Rattus norvegicus: one gene and its partners. The protein of the gene in region 1 purifies or fractionates together with the protein of each later gene. This does not show direct contact. Links are inferred from orthologs where the notes say so. Each region holds a gene or a part of one and is shown on either strand. Other genes may lie near its edges. The genes, in order: Nolc1, Csnk2a2 and Arrb1.

Evidence for each region.
Region 2: the proteins of Nolc1 (region 1) and Csnk2a2 purify together in Homo sapiens (affinity purification with mass spectrometry; 5 studies listed by BioGRID and IntAct, with this or other methods). This does not show direct contact. The link is inferred for Rattus norvegicus from reciprocal best matches to the Homo sapiens genes NOLC1 and CSNK2A2.
Region 3: the proteins of Nolc1 (region 1) and Arrb1 purify together in Homo sapiens (affinity purification with mass spectrometry; 4 studies listed by BioGRID and IntAct, counting the BioPlex papers as one, with this or other methods). This does not show direct contact. The link is inferred for Rattus norvegicus from reciprocal best matches to the Homo sapiens genes NOLC1 and ARRB1.

The regions. Positions count from the first base shown.
Region 1 is NC_086019.1:254,869,032-254,873,218, forward strand, and holds the start of Nolc1 (nucleolar and coiled-body phosphoprotein 1), read left to right. Parts: upstream 1-1,327; 5' UTR 1,328-1,379; coding exon 1,380-1,499; intron 1,500-4,187. UniProt on the Homo sapiens protein: Nucleolar protein that acts as a regulator of RNA polymerase I by connecting RNA polymerase I with enzymes responsible for ribosomal processing and modification.
Region 2 is NC_086037.1:9,593,330-9,596,976, reverse strand, and holds part of Csnk2a2 (casein kinase II subunit alpha'), read right to left. Parts: intron 2,454-3,647; coding exon 2,305-2,453; intron 369-2,304; coding exon 292-368; 3' UTR 275-291; exon of another isoform or gene 1-274.
Region 3 is NC_086019.1:163,305,618-163,309,264, forward strand, and holds part of Arrb1 (beta-arrestin-1), read left to right. Parts: exon of another isoform or gene 1-675; intron 676-681; coding exon 682-817; intron 818-2,114; coding exon 2,115-2,199; intron 2,200-2,588; coding exon 2,589-2,661; intron 2,662-3,647. UniProt on the Homo sapiens protein: Functions in regulating agonist-mediated G-protein coupled receptor (GPCR) signaling by mediating both receptor desensitization and resensitization processes.

The DNA of each region.
Region 1 (4,187 bases):
CCTTTCTGGGTTCTGTAGAGTTGTTCAGACTGGACTGAAACCCCAGTTCTCCTGCCTACTCTCTTACAGTGACAGCCTGTGCATGGAGATATTTTAGAATACAGACACTTGTGGGATGGAGAAGATACAGTTTTGGGGTTGGTTTTTTTTTTTTTTTTTTTTTTGTTGTTGTTGTTGTTTGTCTTCTGAAGCCAGGGTTTTTCTGTATAAACCTGACTATCCTGGATCTCACTCAAGGGATAACTGCTTCTGCCTTCAAAGTGTTGGGATTATAGTATTTCAAACTCAAAAGAACTCCTCTTCCTCCTCCTTTGCCCCACCCTCCTCTCCCTCTCTCCTCAGATCTACCTACTTTTGTCTCTCAACCCTGGGTTTCAAGGCATTTGCCACCAAGCCTATGAGAATAAAAGTTTTCTCAACTGGGGTTTGTGTCTATTAAGTGTTTCAGGTAAGCTCACCAATTTAATTTGATCACCGTCCTGGCGCGTGGATTTTTTTAAAAAAATTAATATGGATGGATGGATAGAAGCACCTCCTCTGGGAAATAGGATAACATTTCTTTTTAGAAGGAGCGACTGTTTTGAGGAAAGTAAAAGGTGTTCACAGGAAGTGCATCTTTATTGTTTCGTGAGGGATAACTAATGTGACCTGGAAAATAGCTGATAGTGGAGTTTTCAGAATTCAGTGTGACTTCTGACTTAAGGAAGAAAGGGTTATTGAGTCCCTTGATCTTTTCTCTGGAATGAACCCGTGCTCTCCTCCCCCTTTTCGAGTTGTGTATGGTTGGGATAACAGTCTTTAAACCTAGCTGTGACTGACAGTCAATGTGGGATACTAACACCTTTGTCACCACAACTTTTAGGATTGCCTTATGATTTGAGTCTCACTGGGTGTGAAGGATGTGAAGAAGTCATTGTTGGTGGGAGCTTGAGCAGTAGACGACACCTCTAGAAAGGTGAAAGAGACTCGAGTTCTCCATTCCTTTGATTATCGTGGGGTCTGAATAGCAGCCGGGGCTTGGAAACTACGTTTCTATAGATAGAAGTCCATTCAGCAGAGATAATGCGCGGGAAGTTGCAAGTTTTCCCGCCTCGGACGGGAGCGTGACCTCTGACGTAAAGCTCCGCCTCCTTGGGGGGGAAGGCTAGTGGGCTCCGCCCTTTACAGGATGACGACGCGTGTGAGACCGGAAGGAACTTATAGATTTCGCATGCGTCCTGCCTCCGGGGCGGAGGGAGCCCTGCCTCGTGGGGGCCATTCTTCCGCTGCGCGCCGCGCGACGTGATGACGACACTGGGCCCGCCCTCTACCCTGGCTGTGCTCTGGAGTTCTTCAGTCGTACCGCGTGCGCAACGGTAGTGACGCGTTTAACCCGGAGTATGGCGGATACCGGCTTGCGCCGCGTGGTTCCCAGCGACCTTTATCCCCTTGTGCTCGGCTTTCTGCGAGATAACCAGCTCTCAGAGGTGGCCAGTAAATTTGCAAAAGCGACAGGCGCTGTGAGTCCTTGGTTTGGTTTGCGGGCCGGGGTGGGACGACTCTCCAAGGTAGTCTAGGCCTTGTCAGGTTTAGAAGTCAAGAAATCGAGGTCTGGGGTCTGTCAGTCTAATGTCTGTGAAGCCTCTCTGCCGACCTTTCTGAGGCTTAAGGTCTCGGCATCTCTTTCCATCACGTCTGACTAGCTCCGAATCTTACGGCTTTTGGTGAGTTTTGCAGTGGTGGCAGGCATGGGTCCCTCGTGACCTAGGACATGTGGCGATAGATCCCTCCCGGAGCATTGGTTTGGCGGTGCCTGCTTCTGCTGTACTTTTTGTTGGACTTACACTTGGTTGCAGTTTTACCTGAGACTCAAAGATAAATTGTTACTAGTGAAGGCTAGGATCCTATTTATTTATACACTTTAAAAAATGAGTGAGTGCAGGGATAAACTGCGTAGCAATGAAAACTAGGATATCATTATTTATTTAGTTACTTAATGAATGAGTGCAGGGATAGGCTGCTTTCAGTATACCATAGAAAGCGTGAGCATCTTTCCCTGTCAAGTTGGCACTGGGCTTGGAGCTTCAGGTAGTGATATAAAGCAAATGGAGGCTTAGGCCAGATCCACCACTTTCTACATTGATGATCCTGGGCATCCTTTTATTTAAAACAAAGTTCAACCCTTTATATTGTGTATAAAAGTCCTTGTAGAGTGGAAGATGGATGTAAACTTCTGTCCCTCTTGCCTCAGCCTCCTCATCCTAAGCATGCCTGAACATAGCAGGATGCCATTTTGGTTTTTGTTGTCAAGACAAGAGTTTCTCTTTGTGTAGCCTTGGCTGTCTTGCAACTCACTTTGTAGACCAGATTGTCCTTGAACTCAGCTCTCACTCTGCCTACCAAAAGCAGGGATAAAAAGGTGTGCTCAGCCCTATTTACAGCTTTTGAGTGAATGAGATTCACCAAGCGAAAAATACACAAGCCAGTAATCTCATTGTAGACACACAGGGACCATGGGATGAGTGACAGCTATTGTGTCACTTCAAATCCATGTAAGAGCAAAATTAAGTGAAGGAATGTGAAATGTCTCGTCTGCATCTTAAGAAAAGCTGTAGTGTTCATGGAAACACCTTGAAAGACTGTGTAGACTTACGGTCTTTTTTTTTTCAGGGTGATAGCATAACTGACAATTTAGGTTTCTTCTGCTTTATTTCTATTTCTATTTTCTATGTCTCATCGTGTAACCCTGGCTAGCCTGGAACTCATATGCAGAGTAGACTGGCCTCCCAGAGATGCCCCTGCCTCTGATTCCTCAGCGTTGGAATTAAAGGCTGCACCATCATAACTGCCTGGTCCCCTCCTGTTTCTGTGGCCATTTTTGACCTGGCCTTGGCCTTATGATCTTCCTGCCTTAGATCCTGGGAATCTTGGGTTACAGGCCACCAGACCACATAAGAGAGTTCTTTGAGCCAGGGCAGCCTGGCATGTGATCTGATGATACATGCCCACCTGTTCCTGAATGGTCTTAGCCGATGGACCTTCTTCCAGTGCCCCTTACTCCTCCCCGCCCTTCCTTCTTTTTTTCCTTTTTTTCGGAGCTGGGGACCGAACCCAGGCTAGGCAAGTGGTCTACCACTGAGCTAAATCCCCAACCCCCCCACCCTTCCTTCTTAAGACATGGGGTCTCAATATATAGTTATGGCTGTCCTGGGGCTCACTGTGTAGACTTAAACTCATCTCTACTTGTCTCTCCTTCCCACATGCTAGAATTTAAGGCATATGCCACCACACCTGGAACCTTTGTTTGCTTATGTATTCTCTCATGCACGTTGGTGGTTTGCCTGCATGTAAATGTGTGTGATGTGTTAGATTCTGGAGTTCAGACAGTAGAGAGCTACCATGTGGGTGCTGGGAATTGAGCCAATTCTCCAGCCCCGCCTTTCTGACTTTTTTTTTTTTCCTTTCTGACTTTTAAAAGTCAATTGTTTAGGAAAAAAGTTAATAGTTAGAAAATATGAAGCCACAGGTGTCAGGATTGCGTGGATCTGGAGTTAACAGATGTGGGCGCTGGTAAAAGTGTGGATGGAAAGGCATAGGAATAGCTATGCTATAAAGTTTTCATGTTCAGTGTTAGGTGATATGTAAGTGGAATATTTTTCTCCTAATTTATACAAGTAGGAAAAGTCTTAAGATGTAACATCCATTTCAAATTGAGTAGGTAGTTAAAATAACTTTTTTTTTTTTTTTTGGTTCTTTTTTTCGGAGCTGGGGACCGAACCCAGGGCCTTGCGCTTCCTAGGTAAGCGCTCTACCACTGAGCTAAATCCCCAGCCCCTTAAAATAACTTTTTAAAAAAGATTTATTATATATAAATACACTGTAGCTGTCTTCAGACACACCAGAACAGAGCATGAGATCTTATTACACATGGTTGTGAGCCACCATGTGGTTGCTGGGATTTGAACTCAGGACCTCTTAACCACTGAGCCATCTCTCCAGCCAGTAAAACAACTTTTGAGACAAGGTCTCTTTACATAACCCTGGTGTCCTGGAACTCTGTATATAGTCCTCTTGGGCCTTGGCCTCACAGATCTGCCAGTCTGTCTTCCAAGTGCTGGGACCATGCCAGGCTGACAAATTACATTGATCAAAGAGTAACAGAATCTGACCGAGAGACGCTTTCCTTAACCAAGCCTCTTTTCTTACAG
Region 2 (3,647 bases), on another chromosome or scaffold:
GTTAAACGCAGGTACGTGTACAACAACTCCGAGCTTCTCATCTCCCATGCATTCCAAAGGGAGAGTCCCTCAGATCCTGAACCATGCGCTCTGCCACACTGCACAGCGCAGCGCCCTGCAGACTACTGGGGAGTTCCTGCTTTGACAGACTTAGGTCTTTACTCTTCTTTGCCTTTAGAAGGAAGGATTAGAATCTCTGTTTATCACACTGCAGTTTCCTTCAAGTTTTTGTTTGGTGGTTGGTTTTTATGGGCAAGCATCAGTGCCGCATTACCGTCGATTCCCCAGGCTTCATCGTGCTGCGGTGAGACCACTGGAAAGCACGGTGTTCTCAGCACAAGGCTGGGACTGCTCCTTCACCACCGGGTCTGCAAGAGAGGAGCACAGGTTTCCCACATGAGCACAAGCACTGAGGTTATAGAGAGAACACCATAATAGCCAACTGCCTTTCTTTTTCCACAGTACCAAGACAGACACATTTATGTGGGACCCGGGTTATAAAAAAAAAAACAAAACAAAACCAGGCACCAAGCCAGGATCAGGAAATAGTTCCTTATTTTCCCCCCTCAGAGCAGGGTCTAGAACCCACAGTTTCACACATGCTATGGCAATCAATCTACCACCAAGTCACCTCCTCACCTCCCACTGAACATTTGATTTTGGGATGAAGTTTTACAAGGTGCTCAGAGAAGCCCTGAACTCACTCTTCTTCACCCCGATGATCCTCCAGCTTAGCCACGGTGGCCTCATGCCCACTGGGGAACCCCCCTCCCCCGGAGCTGGGGACTGAACCCAGGGCCTTGCGCTTGCTAGGCAAGCACTCTACCACTGAGCTAAATCCCCAACCCCGGGGAATTTTTTTCTAGGTAATTTTTCTATTCCCTTAGAATATAGACCCAACTGCTGAAAAGCACAGAAATTCTAACTTAGCACTGTTCAAATTTATACCAATTCCTTCCTTGAGTACCAGTGTCATACAGTGACAAGCATGTGTGAAAAGGTGAATGAAAGAGCCAATGGCAGGCAGCCACTGTAAGGGGCAGTCAAATACTGAGCTTATTTAATCAAATAATGAATTATGTGGATGGAACCTTCATCAGGTTGTTTTCATTATTATTTCTGAGACAGATCTCACTACATACCTTAGATGGCCTCAAATGTACAGTCCTCATGCATATGCGTGCCTTATGAGTTTACATTAGTATTGTTTTCTGTTTCATTGTTTCTGTTTGAGTCAGGTTTTCTGTGTGTAGCCCTGGCTGACTATACTGGAACTCACTTTGTAGTTCAGACTGGCCTTGAACTCAGGGATCCACCTGCCTCTGCCTCTCGAGTTCTGGGATTACCTGGCTATTTAAATTAAAGACAGGCCTCAAAGATCTGACTACCTCCTGAACGGCCGACTTAAAGGTGTGTGCCACCACTCCGGGCTATACCAATATCCTTACAGTGGCCAACCCCATAGGGTAAAAGCAGCTCTGTGTTGGAAATTAGAAAGCAGACAATTGAATGTTGCCTGTTCAGCCATAGAAGGCTGAAAGAGAAGACCCTGTATATATTTTTTTCTTTTTCTTTTTTTTTTCTTTTTCTTTTGTTCCCTTTTCTTTTTTTCGGAGCTGGGTACCGAACCCAGGGCCTTGCGCTTGCCAAGCGCTACCACTGAGCTAAATCCCCAACCTGACCCTGTATATTTTTTGTCCTTAAACTTCTGCTGTAAATTTGAAACTGTAGCAACATATTCTTCGTGTTAGTTATTATTAGGAATTAGTTAACTCCAGAGGTAAAAAGGAAAAGAACACATAGTAGTCAAACAACACACAGAAGCCTTACAGGACAGAGTTCATCTTGATTCAGAGAGAACTAAGTCTACTCAACTTCATCTCTCTCAGCCTCTTCCATGACTAGACTCAGCTACCTCTTCAAGTACATGGGTAAGGTGTGTGTGAAATTTCAATGGGGAGAACTACTAACATTCAAACGATAAGCAGGTCCAGAAGGAGCACGTGTGCTCTATGGAAGATGTCAAAGGTCAGAGTCCAGTTGTCACACCTGCCTGTTCCCTCACCTCAGAGCCCTCTTATTCACACATTGCTTCCTTTAGAAGCACATGGGGGGCAATGGCTGGAGAGATGGCTCAGAGGTTAAAACCACCAACTGCTTTCCAGAGGTTCTGAGTTCAATTTCCAGCAACCACATGGCTCACAACCATCTGTAATGAGCTCTGACACCTCTTCTTGTGTGCACGAAGATAGCTACAGTGTACTTTCATACATAATAATTCTTAAAAACAAAACAAAAACTCACAGAAGTACGGGTGCTCCATGGCCTCTTTGGCGGTCAATCTCTGTTGATGGTCGTACCGCAGGAGCTTGTCAAGAAGATCAAGGGCCTCGGGGCTGACAAGGTGTCTGTTCTCACTATGGATAAAGTTTTCCCAGCGCTTCCGTGAATGCCTAAGAAAAACAGTGTATCATTACTATTCTGAGACTAAACTACACAAAAAATTCTCCTCTACTAGACCCAACACCAGTGACTCCTTAAACCAGTGTGAAGCAGCTGAAGCTCATTCTTGGAGGCACCCACTTCATATAACTGACGCTTCTTCAACCCCCCCACACCCAGTTATAACCACGATGTACTGACACCAAACTGCTCAATCATTAGATAAACAGAATTTGTTTAAAACTTCTACATCTGAGTGAGAATTGGTTCAATCTTTCTGGATTATTCTTATGGCCCGTTTTTTTCCCAACTATGAGTGCAGCCTGGTGGACAGAATGAGAGAGTTGGCTCTAGAAACAAGTGGTTTCCTATAATAATGTGTGAAGACGCCAGGCAAGCATTTCCTTATAGCATGCTGCAGTGGGGCTGGCCATGGTGGTGTACATCTGCAATCCTAGCACTCAGCCTGAGGCCAGCCAGGGCTGTGCAGCAAGACCTTGTCAAACAAACAAAACTCTAAACCACACAATCTACTGTACCTGAAAACTCAGCATCCTTAGTATTTATTGTAAAACTTAATTCAGAAAAATCAGTTGTTCATTTCTTATTCAAAGAAACATAGTTTTCCCAGATTTGTCGCCAAAGTAAATATATTCAGGGCTGGGGAAATGGCGTCAGCTCCTCTAGAGTTCAATTTCTGACAATCACATGGTGGCTCACACCCATCCCTCACTCCAGTTTCAGAAAACCCTATTGTGACTCTGCAGTCATCAATACACACATGGTATGTACACGTAAACAGATAAAACACGCTTACATATAAACCAGAAAGAAGTAATTTAAAAAAATTTTAAGTACATGCTTTAACCAGAGTAACATTTTTCCCCCTGTAACATTATGATTTTGTCTTCTATTTATTTGCACAGGATCTCATGATTGTCAGGCTGGCTTCAAGTTCAATGATCCTCCTGCCTCAGCCTTCCAGGTGTTGTGATTAGAGGATTAGAGATTTCCATGTCCACACATGGCTTGTCTTCCATTTCTTTTTTTTTTTTTTTTTTTTTTGGTTCTTTTTTTTCGGAGCTGGGGACCGAACCCAGGGCCTTGCGCTTCCTAGGCAAGCGCTCTACCACTGAGCTAAGTCCCCAACCCCGTTTGTCTTCCATTTCTTAGTAGGAGTCCTAGCACTTAGAAGGCTAAGTCAG
Region 3 (3,647 bases), about 92 Mb from region 1:
AGTTGGTTCCGGTCATGTTCATAGTAATGGGCAGATGTGGTTTAGCCTTCCCAGGGGTCCTAAGGGGTAAGAGTTGTTGTCAGTGTTTCACAAATGAGGGAACTGATGCACAGGGAGGTAATTTCCCCAGAGCATGCCGTAACTCGCCAGCTCAGTCTGTCCCGGCTTCTACCCTAAGCCCTGTGACCTCCATTGAACTCTCATTCGTGGGCCTCTCTGAGTCACCTCTTCACTGTCCTGCACTCTTGGCTGAATCCACATCCTATAATGGACATCCTCCTCCATGAGGGCTGTTAGTTCTGCACACTTCCACTTAGCAAGTGCCAGGCGGCAGGTGCTGACCCACGTGCTGAGACTGTGGTGGTGAACCAGCTAGGTAAGAAGTTCCCATCCTCCAGTGGCTCACGCGATCAGGAGACAGGGAGCAAGAAGTAAAAAATAGTCCCTTTCTTACTATTTATTGTGCTGGGTCCTGGGATCCACAGACCCAAATGAAGCACTGCTGTCGAATGGCTCAGGGACAGGGTTGAGGAGGCTGGGGCTGTGTCACATGGTGACAAACCCTCCAGGTTAACCACCGTGATTGGCGAGCAAGAGGGAGCTGCAGTAGCCACTTGAGCAGAGAAGGGAGTGTGGGGGCCGGTGACTCTGTCTGTCTTTCTCCCCATCCATCTTCTTTAGGAATTCTGTGCGGCTAGTCATCCGGAAGGTTCAATATGCCCCTGAGAGGCCTGGCCCTCAGCCCACGGCTGAGACCACCAGACAGTTCCTCATGTCGGACAAGCCCCTGCACCTTGAGGCATCTCTGGATAAGGAGGTAAGAGACTCAGATCCCATTGTCCCCAGCTCTACTACCCCTCAGATCCCAGTGTCTCCTGACAGCCCTTAAGTGTTTGCAGAACCCTGTTGTGGTTCAAAGGACTGACAGAGGTAGGCATGGGCATTTACAGGATGGGAGCAATGGAAGGGTTCTGGTCCTTCTCTTCACACTCTGATAATTGCCTGCTTGAGACCGGGTGGAGAAGCCCAGCACATCAGCAGGGGTGATGATGGGAAAGAGGACCCAAGGATGCCTTGCTATTACCCTCTTATCTATGAGCAAGAAGGTGAAAAACCCTTGAAGTCAGGTGACTAAGCCAACTGACTGGGGTGTAGGAGTGCACCTCCTCCTTCTTGGGGCAGCTAAAGGCAAGGGCCTGGACGAGTGGTGGAATTCTCTAAGAATTCCGAGCAGGTCCTTTAGTTGGTTAGCCTTTCCTCTCTTCTCCTGAATTTTCCAGAGTTTAATGTGTCTGCGAACCCAGACCATCAGAGCCCACAGGGACTTGAGGCCTTGCTCTGTCCAAGCCTGCACATAGAATAAGGAGAAGCAGAGTCTCAGATAACCTGTCCAAGGTCATGCAATGTTTATCATCATTGCTATTATTGTTGTTTGAGCTAGTGATCAGAATGGGACTGGAGCCGAGGATGTCAGCTTCTTTTTCTTTTTCCTATGTGTGTATGTGGGCGTGCATGGGTGCATGGGTGCTTGTGTATGTGTGTGTGTATGTGGTATGTATATGTGCGTGTGTATGTGTGTGTGATGTATGTGTGTGTGTGGTATGTATGTGTGTGTATGTATGTGTGGTGTGTGTGTGTGTGTGTGTGTGTGTGTGTGTGTGTGCACGTGTGCCCACACATGCATGTGTGTGGACCTGGAGGACAATCTTGAAGGTGTCATTCTCAGAAATGCCATCCAGCTCCTTTGAGGCAGTCTGTCAGTGGTACAGAGCTTACCTGGGCTAGATTCTGTGGGCATTGAGCCCCAGGGGTCCTCTTGTCTCTGCCTTCCTAGTGCTGGGATTACAAGTACCCAGCATTTCTACACAGCTTCTGGAGATCAAACTTAGTTCCTTGTGTTTGCAACACAAGTACTTTACTGACAAAGCCGTCCCCTCAGTCCTGGAATGGAAAGACATCTAGTACAGACGTCTTTGAAAGGTCCTACAGTGGTACTGAAGGTTCATATACACTTGGTAGTTTTGTGACACTTTTATGTCAGTGGGAAGTGGCTGAAGAGCTAGGGGGCAGAGTTTAGTGTCCCTGCCCACACTCTTCTGTCTTTTGCCTCACAGATCTATTATCATGGAGAGCCCATCAGCGTCAATGTCCATGTCACCAACAACACCAACAAGACTGTGAAGAAGATCAAGATCTCGGGTAGCTGGGAATCCTTCTGGGGGGGTGGGATAGCGGCAGGCGTGGTCTTCATTAAAAGCCTGAGACAGTACCATTAGTAGCTTCCTGAAGCTTGCGTCTGCCGGCAGCCTACAGTGGCTTCAAAGCTGGGCAATGGGTTTACTGCCTTGCAGATTCCTTCTTAGGCTTCCTGGGCTCTGGCCAAGCTGTCCTGGGAAGAAAGACTTCGTCATGGAAGGGACTAGGCTTTGATGGGGTTTCTGTTTGGGTGGAGTCTGGGGTGGTGGCCTGTGGTAAATGCTGGCCATTGTCTCAATCTAAGCAAGCACATCTGCCACAGGGAGCTTGAGGTATATCATGAGAGGGACCCCTGACTCATGCGCCCACCTCCCCGGCCCCTCTCTCTCCAGTGCGCCAGTATGCAGACATCTGTCTCTTCAACACAGCTCAGTACAAGTGCCCAGTGGCCATGGAGGAAGCTGAGTAAGTGTGTTTGAAGCCAACTTTGGATGGGTGGGACTAGATAGGAGAAAGGGAAGTTCTGAGTCTAGGACCAGGCATCTTTTTTTTTTTTTTTTTTTTTTTTTTTTTGGTTCTTTTTTTCGGAGCTGGGGACCGAACCCAGGGCCTTGTGCTTCCTAGGTAAGCGCTCTACCACTGAGCTAAATCCCCAGCCCCAGGACCAGGCATCTTTAATCAACCTGCAGAGAGCCGGGCCTCTGCCTTCTTTGACATTCACAGTAGATGGCACGGAAGAGTCTTCCTCCAGGTGCTGACATTATAGGCGTGAGCCAGCCACACCTGCCACTTAGACCTGGTTTCTAATATCCTAGAGACAGAGATGTTAATATCAAACCAACTATTCTTGCATTATTGGATAGTCTCATATTCACTGTTGATTAAAAATGAAGTCCGCAGCCACAAGGCATAGATGTTGGGGGTTCATTGCAACGACCTAGAGCCAGGACAGCATTTAACCCCAGGTGGGACACCATAGTCTGTATATGCATCTGCAGCCTGGAGGAAGGATAGTCGTCTGGGCTTCCAGTGAGCATGGTTTCCCGTGGGGTTGGGCTAGGGGGTTGAGATGTGGCTGGCTCTGCTCCAAGAGGCAAAGCTGGGCCTTACTCCATGGCTGCCCTGGTGTCAGGTGAATGCATCTGTCTCATCTTTGGAAAGGGAGAGGGGGGATAAAATAGCACCAGGCCAGAGTGAACAACGGAGGTTCCTGTACATGACTGATGGATACGCATTAGAGCAAGTAGAGTTTCAGTGGTAGAACCTGGGTAGGAGCTGCCAGACACTTACTCATGGTTTGCATGCAGTGATACTTTTGAAAGTAAACGTGGGCTGAGTAGTTAGGAGCCCTTGCTGTTCCTCTAGAGGACCAGGGTTCATTTTCCAGTCCCCATGTCAGGCAGCTCACAACAGCTTGTAATTCTAGTTCCAGGGGATATGATGTGGTGCAC